Callithrix jacchus: one gene and its partners. The protein of the gene in region 1 binds, or shares a complex with, the protein of each later gene. Links are inferred from orthologs where the notes say so. Each region holds a gene or a part of one and is shown in the gene's direction. Other genes may lie near its edges.

What was found.
Region 2: MED23 (region 1) and MED13L share a complex: the UniProt entries of both Homo sapiens proteins name them as parts of the mediator complex. The link is inferred for Callithrix jacchus from reciprocal best matches to the Homo sapiens genes MED23 and MED13L.
Region 3: the proteins of MED23 (region 1) and mediator of RNA polymerase II transcription subunit 24 are in contact, whole or in part, in a cryo-EM structure (PDB 7EMF), measured with the Homo sapiens proteins. The link is inferred for Callithrix jacchus from reciprocal best matches to the Homo sapiens genes MED23 and MED24. Residues at the interface, in NP_004821.2 of Homo sapiens: Asn150, Thr151, Val152, Ser153, Ser154, Glu193, Gly194, Leu196, Pro197, Trp199, Leu201, Gly202, Asn203, Ser206, Asp207, Asp210, Arg213, Tyr258, Asp259, Lys260, Phe263, Ser1133, Arg1139, Ser1176, Glu1180, Glu1182, Trp1183, Val1184, Tyr1186, Arg1189; in NP_055630.2 of Homo sapiens: Lys238, Thr239, Leu280, Leu283, Lys287, Val291, Glu295, Cys336, Glu339, Phe340, Lys343, Leu344, Thr345, Pro346, Leu347, Asp349, Lys350, Gln353, Lys384, Glu720, Lys721, Trp723, Thr756, Arg757, Lys758, Glu759, His760, Met802, Asp803, Pro804.

The regions. Positions count from the first base shown.
Region 1 is NC_133505.1:138,274,591-138,279,078, reverse strand, and holds the start of MED23 (mediator of RNA polymerase II transcription subunit 23), read left to right. Parts: upstream 1-1,605; 5' UTR 1,606-1,799; coding exon 1,800-1,838; intron 1,839-2,161; coding exon 2,162-2,193; intron 2,194-2,351; coding exon 2,352-2,439; intron 2,440-4,314; coding exon 4,315-4,439; intron 4,440-4,488. UniProt on the Homo sapiens protein: Required for transcriptional activation subsequent to the assembly of the pre-initiation complex. Component of the Mediator complex, a coactivator involved in the regulated transcription of nearly all RNA polymerase II-dependent genes.
Region 2 is NC_133510.1:119,043,868-119,047,757, reverse strand, and holds part of MED13L (mediator of RNA polymerase II transcription subunit 13-like), read left to right. Parts: coding exon 1-549; intron 550-1,367; coding exon 1,368-1,593; intron 1,594-2,598; coding exon 2,599-2,704; intron 2,705-3,008; coding exon 3,009-3,133; intron 3,134-3,890. UniProt on the Homo sapiens protein: Component of the Mediator complex, a coactivator involved in the regulated transcription of nearly all RNA polymerase II-dependent genes.
Region 3 is NC_133506.1:72,287,760-72,291,649, forward strand, and holds part of mediator of RNA polymerase II transcription subunit 24, read left to right. Parts: coding exon 1-13; intron 14-886; coding exon 887-934; intron 935-2,611; coding exon 2,612-2,694; intron 2,695-2,986; coding exon 2,987-3,073; intron 3,074-3,890. UniProt on the Homo sapiens protein: Component of the Mediator complex, a coactivator involved in the regulated transcription of nearly all RNA polymerase II-dependent genes.

The DNA.
Region 1 (4,488 bases):
TCCCTATGTTGACCAGGCTGGTCTTGAATGCCTGGCTTCAAGGGATTCTCCCACCTTGGCCTCCCAAAGTGCTAGGATTACAGGGGTGAGCCACTGCATCTGGTCAGTTGGTACATATTCTATAAATAAAGACATTTTCCTACATAACCACAATATTACCAACAAAATCAGGGGATTAACATTAATATATATCTACCATCAAATCTTCAGATCCCATTCAGACCCCCCCCCTTTTTTTTTGAGATGGGGTCTTACTCTGTCTCCCATGCTAGAGTGTGGTGCAGTCTCAGCTCAGCTCACTGCAACCTCTGCCTCCTGGGTTCAAGGAATTTTCATGCCTCAGCCTCCCAAGTAGCTGGGGCTACAGGTGTGTGCCACCATGCCCACTAATTTTTATATTTTTAGTAGAGACGGGGTTTCACTATGTTGGCCTGGCTGGTCTCAAACTCCTGAGCTCAGGTGATCTGCCTTCCTTGGCCACCTGGCGTGTGTGTGTGTGTGTGTGTGTGTGTGTGTGGTGTGTGTGTGTGTGTGTGTAAAAGGATTATGTTCAAAAACATGTTTTGCATTTACTTGCCATGGAACAGTTCCTTCCTCATTCTGGAGGAATTTCTTAGTCAGTACTTGACTTTTTTGACTTACACTTTTGAATGTTACAGACCAGTTGTTTTGTAGAACATCCCTTAGGTTTTATCTTTCCTCGTGATTAGATTCAGGTTACGCAACTGTGACAGAAAAATGGAAGTTATGTTGTAGTCTTCTCATCACATCCTAACAGGCTGGCGCGTGGTTTCAATGTCTCCTATTACTGATGGTATTCATTTTGCTCACTTGATTAAAATGATAGCTGCTGGGCTTCTTGGTCACAAAGTTACTTTTTGTCCTTTTTAGTTAATAAGTATTCTCTGTGGAGTTACATTGAAGCTATGTGACTATATAATTTCTCATCCAAAGTTTAATTTATTCATCTATTTCTTCACAGCTTTGTGGACTCATGGTTTTCTATTTTATTTAATGGGTTGTAATACATTATTTGTTATTTTGATAATCATATTGTCTCTGATATGGCCAGTGGGAATGCCTTCAAGCTTCTCATCATTCTTTAAGAAATTTTGGTCAAGGCATGGTAGCTTATGCCTGTAATCCTAGCACTTTGGGAGGCTGAGGCAGGCAGATTGCTTGAGTCCAGGAGTTCAAGACCAGCCTGCGCAACAAGGCAAAAACTCATCTCTACAAAAACTACAAAGCGTTGGGCATGGTAGCCCACGCTTGTGGTTCCAGTTACTTGGGAGGCTAGGGTGAGCTCGCAGACATTAGCTTGGTGACCGCTGCCGCTCCAGCGTTTTCCGCAGGCTGCAGCCTCTGGGTTCCAAGCTTTTTATTTCCCAGTCTGTACGCAGGTTAGCCTTGAGCAGGAAGCAACTCCTTCTCCAGCCGGGAGGTGGCGGCCTACGGTTGACGACGCCTCCGTGGAACCTGGGCTTGAGGTTCCGTTTGGGGGCGTTCTCGTCCGGCTTGCGGACCGCCCTTCTCCAGAGCCGGAACCATCTGGCGGCACCTCTGGTTTCAGCGGGGGTTGTAAACAGCGCGCACCGGGCTTTCCTCGTCTTCCGTACAGGTTCCTGCTGTTGGCTGAGCTCCGGAGAGAACGCTCTTGGTAAAGCGCTGCGGGAGGGAAGCGACGCCGGGGAGCTACGGTTTCCTCCGGAGGCCTCCGCCCCTCTGCCTCTTTCTTCCCAGAGCTCGTATCTGACCTGGGCCTTTCCCGGTACCCCGGAAAGGCGGGGGTGATAGTACAGATGGAGACGCAACTGCAGAGCATTTTCGAGGAGGTGGTGGTGAGTTCAGCTGCCGGGCATCCAGGACTATGGCTCAGGGACTAGGAGACGCGGGGGCAGCCGACCAAGGAAACTGGCCTAGGCAACCTCCTCTCACGCCTGTCTTTGTATCCCCTTGTTTTGACACCGACGTTGTATGCGGGGGGGGTTAGTGATTCTCAAACTGCTGTCAAGTTCTTTTTATCCTTTGAAATTGATACGACAGGCCAGACAGGTATTGGTAGTTTCAGAGCTAATTAAGATGACTTGCCCTGGGTTACATTGTAAATACTTCGCTAAGGGAGGCCCCTTTTTAACATTGTTTATATTTTTGTTTTTTACAGAAAACGGAAATTATAGAAGAGGCTTTTCCTGGGTGAGTGTACGCATGGCAGATTTTTGTGTTTTTACATGATTGTATCTGTCAGATTTCACTTAGTTTCGTGTTGGAGGGTTGTAAGAGCCACTAATCTCATTGTGTGTAATTACCTTTTTAAAACGAATGACAGCTAATGTAATTTTTTTTTTTTTTAGCATGTTTATGGATACCCCTGAAGATGAGAAAACAAAACTAATTAGCTGTCTGGGGGCCTTCAGACAGTTTTGGGGTGGTCTTTCTCAGGTGAGCACTTCATGTTTAATACATTCAGCTGATGATTTTTGGGCGCTTCCCCCCCTTTTTTTTTTTAACATTAACATTGATGTTGCTCTTATGATCTTCCTGAGAAGGGAGAAATAAAATTGTCATCATTTTTTTATTCTGGTTTCCATCTATTTTAATTTGTATATTTCAGTGGAAAACTTATGTTAAGAAGTCAAGTTTATATTGCACAGTGTGAGATGTTAAAAAAAAGAAAAAAAAGTAACCCCCCCCATGTTAGCTTATTTAAGACCATTTTCATCCTATTTGGATTTATTTGGTACACTTGAAAACAGATGTGTTAAGCTTTACTTGTAAAAGATACAAATTACAGGTTTTTTTTTTTAACTAAATAAAGGAATTGGCACAGCATTGATGCAAAGATGCTATAATAGAAATACCGAGATTCTATTATAAGGATAGGAAGATACTATAGTAAAAATGAGGAAACAAACTGTAAGAGTAACAAACTGTAAAAGTAACAAAGAACAGCTACCAGAAAATGTATCCGTGAAAAAGACAAAATATGTCATCCTTGAGCACATTACCTTCTCATGGTACGCTGTAAGTAGGGAGATGAGAACTGTTTGCATGTCAACCACTGGTGATAGATTTGCCACTCAGACATGGGCATATAATCTCAATAGTCATTTTTATAGAATGATCATATATATATACTATAGAATGATCATATATATATTTCTCCTAATAATCTAAAGGTAATTTTCTATAAGTCCAAGAATTACTTGTTCCTTCCTTTCCTACTTTTTTAAAAATAGCATCATAATATTTCATTGTATGGCTGTACCTTCCTCCATTTGACCAATCCTCTACTGACTTTTAAGTTTCTTCTTACTTTTTCTAATTTAACCAATGCTGCGATGAATAATATTATGCATGAGAAATAGGACAAAGTTCTAGAAATAGTATTGCTGAATCAAAGGCCGTATCTGTTTGTAGTTTTTATAGAAATAATTATTAAATTTTCCATAAGGGTTATACTAGTTTATACTTCCATCTGTAGTGGTTGAGCCTATCTTTTGCTTATAACCTCACAATAGAGCGTTAAGCTTTTTAATCTTTGCCAGTAAAAAACATGAGAAATTTTATTTCAGAATAGTTTTATTTTGCATTTCTCTCAGTGATGTTGAACATCTTTGCAACATTTTTTTTAAAGAGTCATTAAACACTTTATGAATTATGGTGTGGCCCTCTAATGGAGAAACCAGGAAGAAAATAGGTATTTCTTAATTGTTGTTATATGTGCAACAATAGAAGTATGTATGAGAACAGTGATTGTGCAGAACATTATAGGTTCTTCTTGGAGATATGCTAGAAGACCAGCTTTGAGATGGGCACAACATTTGGGCATCATATTTAAAGTTTTGCAAGTCTAGAAATGTGACATGTTGTTATATTCGTAGTGGGCTCTTGTTTGGGCTCTTAGGGATTAGATTCGCTTAAGGCTGATACGTACTGATCCATAATGAATTTTACCCCCAGTGATAGTAATATTTATATATGCCATAAAGGGCATTGTTTACAATGCCTTGCAACTATCTGTGTTGAGTTTTCTATTGATCATTAATATGTTCATTAGTAGTTAATTACTACTTTTGAAGGTCCCATGTAATAAAAATGGTGGCATTTTACCTATATAATTGCAAAATTTTAAGCTTAATGTGACAAATACTAAATCTGATTTTTTTATTTTGCTTTTTAAAAAATTATTTTTATCCACAGATGTTCATAGTGAAATATTTCATTCATAGTATTGGTATACTTTCAATTGTATCAGCTATTTGTTATAAAAATATAACTTTAGACCCCAAATAAAATCATTCTCTAATTTTCCAGGAGTCTCATGAACAATGTATCCAGTGGATTGTTAAATTTATTCATGGTCAGCATAGTCCTAAAAGAATTTCTTTCCTTTATGACTGCTTAGCAATGGCAGTTGAGACTGGTCTCCTTCCACCCAGGTATGTTTAATGGGTGTGAGCAATCTGAAGCATTTTCTTTTCTATATGT
Region 2 (3,890 bases), on another chromosome or scaffold:
CCACAGGCCCTCTGTGGCCGAAGAATTATGCATGGAACAAGATACAACAGGACAGAAACTAGGGTTGGCAGGGATAGACTCCTCCTTAGAGGTGTCTAGCAGTAGGAAGTATGATAAGCAAATGGCCGTGCCTTCCAGAAATACAAGCAAGCAAATGAATCTGAATCCTATGGATTCACCTAATTCCCCTATATCCCCTCTGCCGCCAACACTCAGCCCTCAGCCACGAGGCCAGGAAACAGAGAGTTTGGACCCACCATCAGTCCCTGTGAATCCAGCCCTCTATGGAAATGGGCTAGAACTCCAGCAGTTGTCTACTCTGGATGACAGAACTGTCCTCGTAGGCCAAAGACTGCCTCTCATGGCAGAGGTCAGCGAGACAGCCTTATATTGTGGGATTAGGCCCTCGAACCCAGAGTCATCAGATAAGTGGTGGCATAGTTATCGTCTCCCTCCCTGTGATGATACTGAGTTCAGGCCTCCAGAGCTCCAGGGTGAGAGATGTGATGCCAAAATGGAGGTAAACTCAGAGAGCACTGCATTGCAAAGGTAAGACAGCTCTCTGCACCACGTACCCATCCACTGGAAGGCTATGGGCTCCCTCCCCATCTCTCCCTGCTAAACATAAGGTTCAAAATTGAAGCCGACTTTTCTTTGTCCTTCTTGACTCTGCATATGGAAGATGTTTAATGGTCCAATGCTTTGTTCTACGTACAGCATAGCACACATGTCATTTAAACACACGGGCATATAAAGACCTCTTTGTGCCATGTTAGTAGACTCAGAATATATTAATATATTTTTGGCCTATTGTTTGTTAATTAAAGAATACAGCTTTATGAGGCCTTCTATATTGCTACCAGTGCCTTCTTTGTATGTTGACATTTTTGAGGAAGGCTTTGCCTGCACTCGAGTGTGTGTATCATGTATCTAGTATAATATTTACAGTGCTTTTGGTCCACTCATTCTAAACACTTTTCATAGATTAACTCATTTAATCTTTACCATATCATATTATTATGGTAATTTTATAACTGAGAAACTAGGGCCATGCAGTTAGTAAATGACACAGATGGAGTTTGAACCTAGGCGGTTTGTCTTGAGAACCTGTGCTCTTAAGTGAAATTCATGGACCCAGAGACGAAAACATATATTCTTGAAAAAGTATACTTACTAATTTTTATTTAATCACGAATATAAACTATAAAAGCAAATCACCATATAGGTGAATTTTTAGTTTTTTTTTTTTTTTTTTTTTACAAAAAGTTTAAGCTTTGTAAATGCTTTGTCATAATGCCTTTTTTTTTTTTTTAAAGAAACGCACTTAACCTTGTTTACCTTGTTTCAATTGTCATTTTGTCTTTTAGACTCTTAGCACAACCTAACAAACGGTTTAAAATCTGGCAAGACAAACAGCCGCAGATGCAGCCACTCCACTTCCTTGACCCATTGCCTCTATCACAACAACCTGGAGACAGTTTGGGAGAAGTGAATGACCCATACACCTTTGAAGATGGTGACATAAAATACATCTTTACAGCCAACAAGAAATGCAAACAAGGAACGGAGAAAGATTCCCTGAAAAAGAATAAGGTACCATTTAACAGAGAGAGAGTCCAGCACGTGTGGGTTTCTATCTATGTCAGTAAAACACGTGTGGGAAGACTTTGGAGGCAGAACATTTCAGATAGTCTTGCCTGATTGCTCTGTCCCCATATTCATGCTCTTGGTACTATTGTATTGAACAGCGTATTGTTCCTTTTTATGTCATGGCTCACCTTTTTTTAAAAGTCAGCCGAACATAAATGAAGCCTCATATTTTCCAGGCTATAGCTTGTACAGTGCATGTTTCCTCTCATATGCTAATTCTTGTTGGCCTATGCTCCCTGCTTATTTCTTTTAAAATATTATTCCAGAGTACCCAAAATGTAAAGGGAAAAATGTTGATCATAGTATGTATATACAGTTTATCAAGCGCTTATTATCCTCACTGTGCTGAGCGCTATACCTGTGTATTCTCTGGACTCATACCAGCTCTACCCATAGACTATCAGTATTAATTTTACTGGTTTCATTATTATAAAAATGAGTACTGGTTGTGTCTGCTGTCTTTAATTTCAAATTTTCAGACATTCTAAAATACTGGGCCATCAAAAGAGGTATTCTTGAGAATCAAGGAAGTAAGACAATTATAAGAGGCCAGTATACTTCAGGGGAATGATTTTTAGATTGTTTTATACTGATCTCCCTAGATCCAGAAGGCTTAATCTATACTTCATCATCTAAAATGTTGTTAAAGGCAGCTTTTAATATCATGGCATCATTTAATATCAAATGCCACCAGTACTCGTTAGGCATAAAAAACGGATTCACTCAGAATACCCCATAGGATTGAGGGGAAAGTGGGGAGCTCATGGTTCTGTTAAAATTCTGGAGAAAGGACCTATCTTTTATTTCCTTTGGTTGCATAGACCATGGTTTATCATACTTGTGCTCATAACAAGTTCCATTCTACCCTCTAATTCTTTGTGTTCTCCCTCATATTTCACACTTTGGGTTGGTGTTCATGTGTTTTGTTTGGCTGAATTTATTATACAGTCAGAGGATGGATTTGGTACCAAGGATGTCACTACACCAGGTCATTCCACGCCGGTGCCTGATGGGAAAAATGCCATGTCTATTTTCAGTTCTGCTACTAAAACAGGTGTGTACAATGATTATTTGCCTCACTTGGATTGTTGCTAAAATAAAATGCAAGGGAGATGCTTCTCAATATAAAATTTTATTCTTATTGTAATAAGAATTTCATCTCATCTTTAATATATTTTATAGTTTTTCAGTTCCTTTCAAAACTGATAAACATATTTGGAAATAATTGTTTCTAAATTTAACTAAAACCATAGGGAAAAACTCAGGCAGGTCATGTTCATTGAGATCCGTGTCCCCTCCCCACTCCTTTGCACTTGGTGGAGTTGTTTATTCTGTTTCTTTTGCTTCCTTTCCTACAGATGTCCGGCAGGATAATGCTGCTGGCAGAGCTGGCTCCAGTAGCCTTACGCAGGTAACAGATTTGGCACCTTCCCTGCATGACTTAGACAACATCTTTGATAATTCTGATGACGACGAACTTGGGGTGAGTTTGCCATAGCTACATGCACAGAAATTTCGCTATATGAAAGGATTTCATGTCGCTGTTGTAGTATTTCTTTATAGCTTGGTCTACTGAATTTGGGGGCTCTTATTTCAGGTTCTGAATGTTCTTTATAAATGTCTGTATACTGGAGTCTAGTCACACTGTATATTGAAAAAAAGTTTATATACTTGGAAAATATTGTAAAGATTATTATTGTAGTGTACCCCCCTCTAGAATTTTGTTCATTGAAGGATCTTTTTCATTAGTGTCTCCAGTTATAAGTACTAAAAGTCTTTTCACATTCATTTTAATAAATTCTTCTAAATACCATTGGAGTATTAGAAATATATTGTCCCTTAGATTTGATTTTTAAAGTAATGCCCACATAAATTTTTATTCATCTAATAAGTCAGAGGTTAGATATGAAAATATAATCTATACTTTTTAAGATCATGGCATAATGGTAGGGAAATAGAATTTATATACATAGAAGTTAAATAATACAAGGCATCATATGATTTAAATGACAGAGAGGAATAATTGTAATTATTTGGAGATCAGCTGAACAAAGAGTCAGGAAATATGTGTCCTCATCCTCCTGACCACCTCCATACCTTTGGGCAAACACAAGCGCCTGTTTCTTCTGGGAGACCTAGAGATAAGTAAGATAGGCTCTGTTTTTTTAAAAAAAGTTTATTAGTTAATTTTTCTTTTATTTATTCACTTACCTATCTCCTTATTCATCTATTTTACATAC
Region 3 (3,890 bases), on another chromosome or scaffold:
CACTTTCCTCAAGGTACCAGGGACGTGGGTGGGACAGAGCCAGTCTAGGAATGGTTCTCAGGAAGAGCAGCGGCACCCTGGACCTCTGCCCTGTGTTTCTCCCTGCGGGCGCTGGGCCCAGCCTGCCAGGTATCCCAGTGCAAGTTCGCATTGATCATTTTCTCTGAAAGTGCCAAGGCTATATTTAGCCCATGTGGCAAACTCTGTTGTTTCCCGCCACAGAGGTGCTTGGTCCTCAGACAGATTGGTGTGGGGCAGTGAGGGGAGCCAGGGAAAGGGGCCCCAGTCCTCCTTGAAGCTGGGGATCTACTTTTGCTTATGGCATTTTTTTTCTGTTGAGTGAGCAGAGGTGCAGGGTCCCTGTGTCCTGTGCCTCGGCCTGGGGGCATAAGGGACCTAGGTACCTATTGGCTGTCATTTAGCTCTTTTTTTTTTTTTTTTGAGATGGAGTTTCGCTGTTGTTACCCAGACTGGAGTGCAATGGCACAATCTTGGCTCACCACAACCTCTGCCTTCTGGGTTTAAGCAATTCTCCTGCCTCAGCCTCCCGAGTAGCTGGGACTACAGGTGCGCACCACCATGCCCAGCTAATTTTTTTTTTTTTTGTATTTTTAGTAGAGACGGGGTTTCACCTTGTTGACCACAATGGTCTCGATCTCTTGACCTTGTGATCCACCCGCTTCAGCTTCCCAAAGTGCTGGGATTATAGGTGTGAGCCACAGCGCCCGGCCTTGGCTGTCATTTAGCTCTAAGTGTGCTCTCACTCTCAGGGCAGGACTGTTCCTGTCTCTCTCCTTGGAGGAGGGGGTTGCGGGGAGGTCTTCAGGGGTAGATGAAAGAGAAAAGAAACAGATCTTGCTGTTTTTCCCTCTGCCTCACCCCCTAGATTCCACAGGTTTTGGTGAAGTTGAAGAAATACTTTCACGGGGACAAGGTGAGTTGAGGAATTGAGATGGAGTCATGGGAGCAAAAACAAGGGCAAGGGAAGGGTCCTTCAGGCCCCAACCGGACAGTGTTCTCATGCCTGGAAGAGAGCTGGATGCGTGTGTGCATGTGTGCACCTCAGTGTGTGTGTGCTTTGCTGTGTATGTGCTTCAGTGTGTGTGCTTTAGTGTGTGTATGTGCTTCAGTGTGTGTTTCAGTGTGTGCACCTGCCTCACCATGAGTGTGCTTCAGTGTGTGTATGTTTTAGTGTGTGTGCTTCAGTTTGCGTGTGTGCTTCAGTGTGTTTCAGTGTGTGCATGCGCTTCCGTGTGTGCTTCAGTGTGTGTGCGCTTCAGTGTGTGCGCTTTAGAGTGTGTGCTTCAGTGTGTGTGTTTCAGTGTGTGTGCTTCAGTGTGTGTGCGCTTCAGTGTGTGTGCTTCAGTGTGTGTGTGTTTCAGTGTGTGTGCTTCAGTGTGTGCGCTTTAGAGTGTGTGTGCTTCAGTGTGTGTGCACTTCAGTGTGTTCGCTTCAGTGTATGTGCTTCAGTGTGTGCACTTCAGTGTGTTCGCTTCAGTGTATGTGCTTCAGTGTGTGTGTGTGCTTCAGTGTGTGTGCACTTCAGTGTGTGTTCGCTTCAGTGTATGTATGCTTCAGTGTGTGTGTGCTTCAGTGTGTATGTGCGCTTCAGTGTGTGTGCGCTTCAGTGTGTGTGTGTGCTTCAGTGTGTATGTGTGCTTGTGTGTGCGCTTCAGTGTGTGTGTGCTTCAGTGTGTATGTGCGCTTGTGTGTGTGCGCTTCAGTGTGTGTGCTTCAGTGTGTGTGTGTGCTTCAGTGTGTATGTGCGCTTCAGTGTGTGTGTGCTTCAGTGTGCGTGTGCTTCAGTGTGCGTGTGCTTCAGTGTGTGTGTGCTTCAGTGTGTGTGTGTGCTTCAGTGTGCATGTGCTTCAGTGTGCGTGTACTTCAGTGTGTGTGCTTCAGTGTGTGTGTGCTTCAGTGTGCGTGTACTTCAGTGTGTGTGTGCTTCAGTGTGTATGTGTGCTTCAGTGTGCATGTGCTTCAGTGTGCGTGTACTTCAGTGTGTGTGCTTCAGTGTGCGTGTGCTTCAGTGTGTGTGTGCTTCAGTGTGTGTGTACTTCAGTGTGTGTGTGTGCTTCAGTGTGTGTGTGTGCTTCAGTGTGTGTGCGTGCTTCAGTGTGTGTGTGCTTCAGTGTGTGTGTGCGCTTCAGTGTGTATGTGTGCTTCAGTGTGTGTGTGTTCAGTGTGTGTGCGCTTCAGTATGTGTATGTGCTTCAGTGTGTGCGCCTGCTTCAGCATGAGTATGCTTCAGTGTGCGTGTGCTTCAGTTTGTGTGTGTTTCAGCATGTGCACCTGTGTCAGAGTGTGTGTGTGTTCGCTTCAGCATGTGCGTGCACCCACAGCATATACCCAGGCTCCAGGCAGAAGGCAGCTAGGCAGCTCAGGCTGATGCCTCCAGCAGTCAAGCTTGCCTGAGATGATAAGGGCCGGGTGGCGCTGTGGGGAGCAGTGATGCCGCGTACTTCTTCCCAGCCAGTCGCTGGGAACCAGCGGTGGGCAGGGCCTGCTTACAGGCTGTGTATCCAGCAGCGTGTCCTTGTGAGCCTGCCCTGCAGGTTGAGGGAGGAGCAGAGGACCTGGAAACCAGGTAGACACTTCTGTCTCTTTTTAGGACTTCACTGAGGATGTCAACTGTGCTTTTGAGTTCCTGCTGAAGCTCACACCCTTGTTGGACAAAGCTGACCAGCGCTGCAAGTATGAGCTCCCCTGCTCACCCCTGCCCTACTGGAAGGTGTTCTGGGCTCTTCCCTGATCTGTGCCTGAAAAGCTTCAGGGGACTCTGTCCCCTTGTTCACTCCCCTTGGGAGGGGCAGAAAGCAGAAGCCCATAGTTGTCAAGTCCGCAGAGCCCCTCTACTGTCCCTCAGGCACTCCAGATTTTCCTCATCCTGAAAGAGGGAGGAGGATGCTCAGGGACCTGCTGCTCCCTCTGCCCCCCAACATCCCAGCCAGATGCACAGTTCCCTCAGCATCTTTCTCCCTCGCAGCTGTGACTGTACAAACTTCCTGCTCCAAGAATGTGGCAAGCAGGGGCTTCTGTCTGAGGCCAGCGTGAACAACCTTATGACTAAGCGGTAAGTGTGAGCGCACCTGGGCTACCCCAAGAGCCCCTTGATCTCTTTCTTGTTACGATGGGCCTGCTGGGTGCCTTTCAATCTTCTGTCTAAAGTGTGGGCTGCAAGTGACTGGGATCATGCCTCAGTGTACAGGGAACAGGAAGGAAAAGAAGGCACCAGTGTCTTCAGACCAGAGTTTTACACTCTTAGTCACTGCTCTTTAACTCATACCCATCTTTGTGATAAAAGTAAAAATCCTAGGCCGGAGGCGGGTGGATTACTTGGAGGCTAGGAGTTCAAGACCAGCCTGGCCAACATGGCAAAACCCCATCTCTACTAAAAATACAAAAATCAGCTGGGCATGTGGTATGCACCTGTAATCCCAGCTACTTGGGAGGCTGAGGCATGAGCATTGCTTAAACCCAGGAGGTGGAGATTGCAGTGAGCTGAGATTGCACCATTGCACTCCAGCCTCGGCAACAGAGTGAGACCTTGTCTCAAAAAAAAAAAAAAAAAAAAAAAATTCTGAATCTTCTTTTAATCTTAAATCTGCTTTCAGAGCATTTAAGATGAATCATAGGCTGGGTGGGGTGGCTCATGCCTTAATCCCAGCACTTTGGGAGGCTGAGGCAGGTGGATCACAAGATCAGGTGAAACCCCGTCTCTACCAAAAATAGAAAAATTAGCAAGGTTTGGTGATGCGGCCTGTAATCTCAGCTACTCAGGAAGTTGAGGTAGGAGAATCACTTGAACCCAGGAGGCAGAGGTTGCAGTGAACTGAGGTCTTACCACTGCATTCCAGCCTGGGCAGTAGAGCGAGACTCCGTCTCAAAAA